Linked DNA regions of Caenorhabditis elegans. The protein of the gene in region 2 interacts with the protein of the main gene of each other region in a pairwise test. Each region holds a gene or a part of one and is shown on either strand. Other genes may lie near its edges.

Evidence for each region.
Region 1: the proteins of F13B12.4 (region 2) and cct-5 interact in a two-hybrid assay, tested with the Caenorhabditis elegans proteins (one large-scale study listed by BioGRID).

What each region holds. Positions count from the first base shown.
Region 1 is NC_003281.10:4,504,858-4,509,999, reverse strand, and holds the start of cct-5 (T-complex protein 1 subunit epsilon), read left to right. Parts: upstream 1-1,885; 5' UTR 1,886-1,915; coding exon 1,916-2,023; intron 2,024-2,130; coding exon 2,131-2,356; intron 2,357-5,142. Other genes in the region: F25F2.1 (Protein kinase domain-containing protein), read right to left, coding at 178-368, 768-1,022, 1,069-1,071.
Region 2 is NC_003282.8:10,444,024-10,448,686, reverse strand, and holds F13B12.4 (Putative pyridoxal-phosphate dependent protein F13B12.4), read left to right. Parts: upstream 1-1,882; 5' UTR 1,883-1,884; coding exon 1,885-1,996; intron 1,997-2,052; coding exon 2,053-2,250; intron 2,251-2,418; coding exon 2,419-2,591; intron 2,592-2,893; coding exon 2,894-3,483; intron 3,484-3,681; coding exon 3,682-3,916; 3' UTR 3,917-4,102; downstream 4,103-4,663. Other genes in the region: F13B12.7 (Neprosin domain-containing protein), read right to left, coding at 4,103-4,269, 4,313-4,490, 4,534-4,593.

The DNA.
Region 1 (5,142 bases), on a different chromosome or scaffold from region 2:
AGATGCCTTCTAACCATAGAGTAGGCACACGGGTAGCCATAAAGTAGACGTCTAGGTAGGAATAAAGTAATTATGTAGGCATGGATGCCTTACGTAGGCATGCATAAGGTAGACACGCAGTTAGGCTTGATAAAGGCACAGGTAGGCACTTTGCGAGGCAACTCTTATTCCACTAACTTCTCAGCAATGACCACATGATCCGTCGATCTCAATTCAGCACGTGTCTTGAGGTAAGTGTTCAATGTTTTCACCGTCTCAATTGTGACTTTTGGATCGACATACATCTCTCGCCATTCGGCTTCCAGCACTTTCCGGGCAAAGTTCGGAGGATCTTCCGGTTTTCGGAACAGAGATCCCGCCATGCGATACTGAAAATGAGTACATAAATATCAAATTATAACCGAAAAAGTAGGCATAAAGGCGACCTACGCCTGCCTCATGGCTGCCACTTTCATCAAGCATTTGGAAGTAGGAAAGTATAATTCTGGGCATAGTTTGCTCTCTGCAACACCTTTTCCGAGTACGGTAGCTTCCCAGGTCCGCTAACACCATCAAGCATAACTTTACAGCATGCCTAAATAGGCATGTATTAGGCTCCATTTGCCGGCAAATTGCAGAAACACCGCAAAATGCCGTAGTTCTCGTGGTTTTTGCGTATTTTCGAAGGTACAGTAACCCTGAAACTGTATGATGCGCGATACTCCAATGCAACAGTCTGCCGAACGTGTAATAGTATCCAAAAAAGTTCAGAAATCCGGAATGTATACCTTCTTATCGATATTTGCAGCATCAACTGCTAATTTTGACTTGACTTTCTCGAGCTGTCTCTGACTTTCACCCGATTCTTCAGATTCTTCAGAAGTTGAAGAATCTCGTGCCTCTTTCTTCTTCTTTCTCTCCTTTTGCTTCTTTTTATCCTTCTTGTTCTTCTTTTCAAGACTATTCTTCTTCTGAGTCGATTTTTCTTTTTTCTTCTTATCCGCTTTCTTTTTCCGTTTATCGATTTTTTTAATTAAGCGATCCTGAACACCGGTATTCTCAGATATTCCTCAAGCCTTTTGATCTTACCATTCGTTTTTCTTATACTTCTCGAACGCTGGTTTTTGAAGCAAACACCAACTCGGACCACCGTAAAATTGAAACTGAATTTTATTTGTTTTTTTTTCAAAACCTTCCCCCCTTATCTCCACATTCAATCTATTTAGCACTCACGCTTTCAATACTTTCAATTAAAAAAGGCGAAAATTATTTGTTAAATAAATAAAATTTATTCTCGCTATAGTGTTTAAACTTTAATTTAAATTTAACTATTTAAATTTGACTATTTAAATAATTTCAGACCCAATTCTTTCCCTTCACTGTTCAATTTAAATCGAGAATAGTGGCGCCGAATTTCTCTGCGACTACGGTCAAAAATTGCGGACTTGCCGCGTACACCATGACGCGCAATTGCACATGTGACATTTTTCTAGAAGATTTTCAATTTTTTTCGTCAAAAAACGTTCATTTCACCTCAGTTTTTTTAAGTTGGCTGATGAAATTATATCCAGAAATTTAAAATTCAAACCTATTTCCAGTTTCTGTCCGCTCTGCACTCAGATTTAGCATTTTAGGTCGATTTTCAGTGTTCTTGGTATCATTGCATTTTAAAATTCTTCGAGAAGATCCCGAATAACCGAACAGCTGCCAATGTTGCTATTCCAATTTTCTTTCGTTCATTTTATTCATTCCTCGAGAATATTCTGCGGGTTTGATATCGAGAACATTGTTTCGAAATGCTGAATTTCGTTTCTTTTTCTTATTTTTGAAAATCAATTCTCTTTCAACAACTTATACTTAAATAATTTTCTCTTAATTAAAATTTTTAACATGCTAATATTTTCAGTGTCTGTCAAGACGGAACTTGGATAAGAAAATGGCGCAGTCATCTGCGCAACTACTGTTCGATGAGAGCGGGCAACCGTTCATCGTTATGCGTGAGCAGGAGAACCAGAAGCGTATCACCGGAGTTGAAGCTGTGAAAGTATGTAATAATTATTTTTTTAACCGGAACATTTAGTTTCTAAATGTTATGTTTTCATGTTTGACAAGTCCTGAAGTTTGTTCTTAAAATTAACTTCATTATTTCAGAGTCATATTCTTGCCGCTCGTGCTGTGGCCAACACTCTTCGCACATCTCTCGGTCCACGTGGACTCGACAAGATGCTCGTTTCTCCAGACGGCGATGTCACCATCACCAACGACGGAGCCACTATCATGGAGAAAATGGATGTGCAACATCACGTTGCCAAGCTTATGGTTGAGCTCTCCAAGTCTCAAGATCACGAAATTGGAGACGGAACCACTGGTGTCGTTGGTGCGTTTTTTTTTTTGGCAGAATTCAGCGCGCACCTCGTAAAATTAGATAGCTTAAACTTATTATGATTATCATGTGAGAGTTGAATATATTTTAGTTTAGAAAACCTTTCCTAATATCAAGTAAATTCCTAGCGAAATTCTTTCCTCTGGTGATTCTCTATGAACATTTTTCGATTCATGTCTAGAAAATGTCCACATTTCTCCCTTTTCTTCGTCGTAACTAAACCGTGTTTGCTTTCCGATTTTTCCTTTTTTGGTCGCTGTCCTTCATTTTCTTCTGCTGTGTAGTTTCGTCTGCAGCATAGTTTAAAATTATTTCGGTTTAACGTTTGAAATTCACCTCAACTACGTAAACCATAATCTTGATAAACTTCGGAATAGCTTTGATAGTTGTAACAAGATTTTCATTTTAAAAAAGCAAAGAGTTGATGTTATTGTCTGAGCTTGTGGATACAGCCGGCAAATCGAAATTTTGATTGCAGGATTTTTTGTAAACGTCACCAGCAGCTGCATTTTAAAATGCCATTGAGAAGCAAATTCGTGAGCATTTAGAGTAAAAGAACTGAAATGTTCATTGATTTTTTCATAAAATGACCGTATTTTTATGATGACTATGAGAAGCGCACCTATTTGTTGACGTCATAAACCCGGAATAAGTCTGAATTTCGAGACAATCAGTCTGAGTCACTCGGCAAAATTGGTTATCGATAATTTTTCGTGCTGGTTATAAAAACGAACTCTGTACACATGAAATTCGAAGTGAAACGTGTTTCATCTGCAATCTTTTCTTTATCAGTATCACACATTAAATCGAAATACTTTCTATCGAAAATGTATATTTTGTTGTCACCCTCTGGTCATTCATGATAATTAATTTAAAAAAAAAAGAACCCTTAGCCGTTCCTTTAAAAGTTTGAAATGTTTGATCTATGAGAAAGTGCGCCTGCTCGTTGTCGATCGTTCTAACTAAACAATCCATTTGCTCTCCTTTTTCGCTGTGCCCGACGCTCCGACAAAATAAAAAACGAAAAGATTGCTCATTTTTCTGATGGTGTGAGCACACAAAAGCCAACAGTTGAATGGGAGGTCTGTCGATTCTCCATGTTCTTTGATTCTTCATTGTTTCTATCTGCACCTTTCTATGACGAAGAAATACACGATAAGCTATCTTTCTTTCATTTTTTCAAGTGAATGTTGACCTCCAGACCTTGGAGTCTTAACAATTCTCCGTTTGCACCATTTTTCTTACGTAACCATATGTTTGCGAAAAACGTGGGCAAATATGGTATCGTATGAATTGCATCGTTAAAAATTCCAGTTCTTATCATATTGTGTTTCTTTTTTGATAACGATTGATGTCGACCCGTCGATTTAGAGCGTCTTTATGGATTTTTGATATATTTTTTGTGTGAAATTTTGTCACTTCAAAGTTTGAATTGCCATAAAAAATTTATTTCGCAAAATTATGCGTCGGTGGAGAATTTCTAGTGTTTCTTATTCCAAAAATTGTGAGCCCTCATGCTTGAGCCACTTATGTCTTTCATAATTTTGATGCAATGTCGCTGTCCGATGTCGTCCAGCATTTTTCCTTCCATTTTTTTCCCGTTTCCTTCGATAAATAATTGAGTGGTTGCTGTGGGCGCGCGCTCCTGCGCGCTAACACTCATTCTCTCACAGCGTCTCTTTTTTCCTCTCCATTTTCTATTCCCTTATTTTATGTCCCATAACAAGTGTTTCGTTTTCCGTTGAGTCGTAAGAGACAGAAGAGACGATAATTAGATTGGTGTGACCGACATGCAAGTGTGCACGCTTCATCGCTCTCTCCATCTGAGCAACATTTTCCAGAAGAGAAACCGAGTCATTTTTGATGTGAGATGCTTAAATGCAAGACTGGTCAAATTCTCTCTTCACTCTATATCTTTGAATTTATGATTTGATGGAAAGAGATTGGTTATTCATAAGATTGTCAAGCTCATGTTTTTCCAGTGCTTTTGGATTATTTAGGCTTCTTTTTCCGAAAAATCTTTCCATAACGTTAATTTTTTCTAAGAGGTTTCAAAATTTTTTGAGGTAGTCAAACTTTGTTGACAGTGTCTAGTTTCGCGTTAAATTCCATCGAAATCAAGATATGTCCAAATAAATTAGGTGTTTGATTCTTTAGAAAATCTAATTTCTAGGTTGATGTTTGTGATATCATGTAATTCTAAGTTGGGGAGCGATATATAGTTTCGCTGGAAAAAAATAACCAAGCAGATTAGAAAATTTTCAGAAAATAGTGAAAATCACGAGGTCATTTGTTTTTTTTTTCTTATTGTTCTTCTGGTTCTGATCGTTGTCGCCTCTCCCTCTTTCAATCCATCATGCGGCGCCGATTGACAATTCTCAATTGTGTTTGTCACAACAAAAATTCAATTGTCGATTTTCCTTTTTTGCCTCTCCCCAACCTGAGGATCAAACGGTTGCTGAAAAGGTCGTCAGGGGCGACTGGTTTTTTCCCACATGTTTTACTCGTGTCATCATCAGATTATGCCCTCACTTGGCCTCGTTTTTCCGCGTAGAATCGGCAGAAAATCGATCGAATTAATAGAATCACGATTTTTTCTCTTCATTTTGTGTTTATCTATTTCTTCAGTAATTTATGATTTTATAATTTGGTTTCGGAAGTTACGGAAACAAAAATTCCGTTTTTTCCTGTCTCCGGTAAAATTTTACTCTTTCCCCTCAAAATGGCCTTCCAGGCTCTAAAGTATCTAATTTCCTGTGCTTTGAAAGGTGGGAAATGAG
Region 2 (4,663 bases):
TGGAGCTTTTTCAATGTTCAAACCAGAGATGTGCGGCAAAAAATATTTGTCCGCATAGTTCGGGAGATGCATTTTGCCAAAAACCCAGCAGTTGTCTTTTTTCAGCAACTTATGGATTTCCTTTTTTGGATATACAAATTTTCACTTTTTAAAAATAATAAATTAAACTCATTTTGTGAGTGTTTGTATAAATAGTTTTCGACAAATTGTAATTTTCGGGTGAAAAATCTGAACAAAATTGAGTTAAATTTTTAAAAACTCTTAAATTTCTAGAAAGTAATGTAGTCAAAATTTAAAACCTTTACTCTAGATTGAAAACGAACAGATGTTTTTCTGCAATCAAATTAATTAATTTGCAACATTTAAACCTCTTGACGTACTGAAATTGTTCTTTTTTGTTTATTTCCTTGTTCTCTTACAATTGGCAAATCTTTTGTTTGAAAGCAGTAACACATCATACTTTTCCAGACTAATCTCTTCAATAATTTCTATGAGTTTAAAATGAATTAAGACAAAGGTGCAAGAAAGATATGACATCATTTGACCTACATGCTTCATTTTAATTTGTATACCGCTTCAAAATGATATCATTTCAGAAGATGATGCGATTTGAAACAAAATTTGAGAAGCCGTAGTGTATGTAGTAGTTTTAATTAAATCAAATCATCTTAGTATAAACTGCTTCCGGTTTCCGGAATCTAAATTCAAATCAAAATTTTTTTGACTTGACATTTTTAGAAAAATGGCAAGAAACTGATCTAGAGACAACCAGACATCAGTGATCAGCTCCGATTCTTGGTTTACTTGGACTGAACAAAATACGTAAAACAAAGAAATTAACGAACGAATCTTTATTGTGCTTTAAAAGCATTAGTTGCAAGGAAAAGAACACTTGGAGGGTAGCTCAGGCTACTGTAACCATGATTTTATATTTTTGTTTTTTAGGTTTTCTGGGGAACTTTCAAATCTCCACAGGAAGATCCAAATCTGGGTGTTATTCGTTTATTCAGTGTCTTCAAAGATTTTTATCGTTTTGCAAATAACCTTCATATCCAAATTTATGCAACAATTTTGGGACTGGCGGATTTATTTCTAAACAATTATGGGAAATTCAATATAATAAAAATGTTCGAGCCTTATATATATTAAAAGTGCGGAAAGTTTGTATAAAAGTGGTGCCGAATTGCCGAGAAGGTTTTGAAACTCTCTAGCGTTTAAATTTCGACTGAAACTTAAAAATGGATTATCGTGTATTTTGGCAGTAGGCACGGGGCAGGCATATATCGCCTTGCACGCGGACAGACAGTCTCATGAAAAAGTTATCTTTCAGTTCTTTTTACCAACCTTAAATTTACTATATATTATTTTAGAAAATATCCTTTTACGCGCAATTTTTTGAATAGAAAGCTTCCTATGACATTTAGCAGAGTTTAAGAAAAATTTAATTTCTACATTTCAAAAATTAGAGAATTTTGTATTGTCCAGGTATTATTTTTTGTTTTGAAGCACTATTTCAAAATGAGTATCATTTCAAGTCATATAAGAAATGAGTTTAATTTTGATCAGCTTATCATTGAAACCGGAACTCTTGCAAAAAGAAAACTTAGATTCATAAATAGTCGCATCACTTATTTTTTTAATGTTTACTTTTCATTTCAAGTTTTTTATAAAGTTCACTTTCTAAACACTCCATGAACCATGTATACTATAATAGTTGTTTGACTCCGGAAACTGTGCTCTTTCATTAATTTGTGGGCGTGGTCATGCTCTTCATTGCGTTCGAAATTTCAATCTTCCTACTGTACTTGTGGGCGTGACCCCGGACTTATAAAAGAAAATTCCAATTGATACATCAATCACAAATTTAATTCATCGTTTTCAGCCATGAAACTACTTCTTCTGGCTCTGTTTCTGAGCATATCCGCAAGTTGCCTTGCAGAAGATATAACAAAAATTTCTGAAAGTCGAATTCCGAATGAGGATGCTGTACCTGATTGTTAGTTTTTTTTTTCTCAAGGTCTTTTTAATTCAATAAACATAAAATATTTTTAGATGAAGCAAAATGGAGGCTCGGAGCAATTCAAAAATTATGGAATGAACGACGAAAGATGGGACACACACCAATGACAAAATTCAGTCCCCCTGGTTTCCCGAACGCCGACATTTTCTTCAAAAATGAAACTGCCACAGCTACGAGAACGTTGAAGCACAGATTTGCATGGGCTCTTCTTCTTTGGGCTATTACAGAAGGTTAGTATGTTATTTAATTGGTGAAGTACAGTGTATCTGCGAAAACTTATATTCTGCAGGTTTTTTACTGCTAAGCTATGAGTATGAGAGCTATGAGTAAGCTAGTCCAGAAACGTTAAATAAATAACATTTCTCAAAAAAAATTTCTGCAAATTTTAAAATTTCCAGGAAAAGTGACTTCAAAAACATCCGCTGTCTACGACTCAACATCTGGTAATACTGGGTCTGCTGAAGCCTACATGTGTACTTTAGTCAATGTCCCATACTATGCTGTCGTTGCTGATAATTTGGAAAAGGAGAAAGTCAAGCAAATTGAGAGTTTCGGAGGAAAAATTATCAAGGTACTTCTTCTACTTACACAGAGTCACATACAGTATTTTTGGTTTAATTTTCATTTAATATTGACCAATTTTTTGAGTTAGCCAAAGTTTTTCCAGTTTTTAAGAACTCTAACCCCAAAACTTTCTCATTCAACTCAACGCCAATTTCTTATAAAATTTCTTTATAGAGAAACAACTTTTATTGTGTGAAATTTCGCGTTAAAATTTTTAAAGATGAGGGAAGCGTTGTTAAGAAAGTTGGAAAATGTCGAGAAAGAAGCAGAAAAATAAAAAAAATTATTGTAAGTTTTGCTTTGTTTCAGGTTCCTGTGGCTCTTCGCAATGCAAAAGCTAAGGAATTCGCCGACAAAAACCACGGATTCTACATGAATCAATTTGGAAACGCTGAAAAAGCTGAAGAATTCCATGAAAGTGGAGACTTTTATTTTGAGTCCACAAATGTCTATCATGAAATTATTGTTCAACTCAAAAAGGACAAAGAGCAAATTGTCAAAATCCCTGACTACTTTGTTCATTCAGCAGGAACCGGTGGAACTATTTCGTCAGTTGGCAGATATGTCGCTAGATATGGAGCACCTACAAAAGTCGTACTCTCCGATTCTCAATACTCTTTATTCTACGATTATGTAATTGGACATAAATTCACAAATCAATCTGGTGCAGGTATTTGGACACCTCCAGGGATTGCTGGAATTGGTTACGGATATGATATTGAACCAGTGTGGTACGGAGAAACAACAAGTTTAACAAGAAATGTAATCCATGAAGCCATGAAAATGCCTGATATTGCATCAGTAGCTACAATGAGAATTCTCGATGAAAAAGGTTATAATGTGGGACCGTCAACATCACTCAACTTCCTTGTTTCTCTTTACAAAGCCTATCAGAACAAGTAAGTAATTCAAACTGACATCATTGCAAACTAATCCGTCTAGAGTATTTATTCGTTGTCTTTTGACGACTTAAGCGTTTACTAGTACATTTAAATTTTTGCGTTAAAAAATATGTTTTAATAGTTTAGTTTACGCAAGCGTATCAATATACCTTGCGTATACCTTGGCTATCAAATCTTGATGAACACAATTTTCAGAGCCAGAAAATCTGCTATCAAGCATCGTCTTACGATTGTTACACTGGCTTGTGACCCAGGAGATTTCTACCGTAGTACGTACCTTAACAACGAATGGGTCGAGAAAAGTTTCAAGAAGTTTGGAGGTGTTATGGGAATGGAATGTTGGAAAAAGCTGATTCAAGAATCAATTGATACGGGTTCTGATTTCTATTCGAAAGGTCTCACTATGTGTCCAGGAGCTTTTAAAGTTTAACTGTTTTGCATTTCTGTGTTTTTGTGTCTCTCCGTATTGTACAGGTTCGTAATTGATCAATTTTAAATTAGATTGTTTTTTTCGAAAATAGAACTCATAGTTCCAGTGATTAAGTCTATTCCCGTGCATGAGTTTTGTGCTTGCTTTGATCTGTATTCAAGTTTAATTGAATAAACTATTTATTATTTAATTATCTGAAAACGCAAAAGTTATAATATTTGCACATAAGGCAAATATGAAAATATACACAACAAAAATTGACCAGTCGACGCCGCGAACAACAGGTTGATCAAGAAAACCATATTGAAAATCAATTGAATCTTTTTTGCGACCATCCGGTGTGTAGATGATTCCTGAAAACAGAAATTGTGATTTTTCAAAGTTCTAAAAACTGACCTGTCAATGATCTTTTCGAACAAATGAACATTTTCTTGCAAACTTCACAATATGTTGGACATTGCACAATATGTGTTGAATTATTGTCAAGAAAAGCCAACCCATCGTAAAGAGGACAGCTGACAACTTTATTTCCGATCGAAAATTGAAATATTTCAGTTTTGTTGCAAACTTCGTTCTGAAATGCGGACTTTACTTACATGGCGAAAATTTTAACTCACTTGAATACGGTACATTCTAGTTGTCTTGGAAACAAATTTAGGAATATCTCCCGTTCTCATTAAGGAAGTCAATATGTTAACTTCATTCGGATCTTTCTCGAATAGTTTGATTGCTATCTGAGTGCAAATT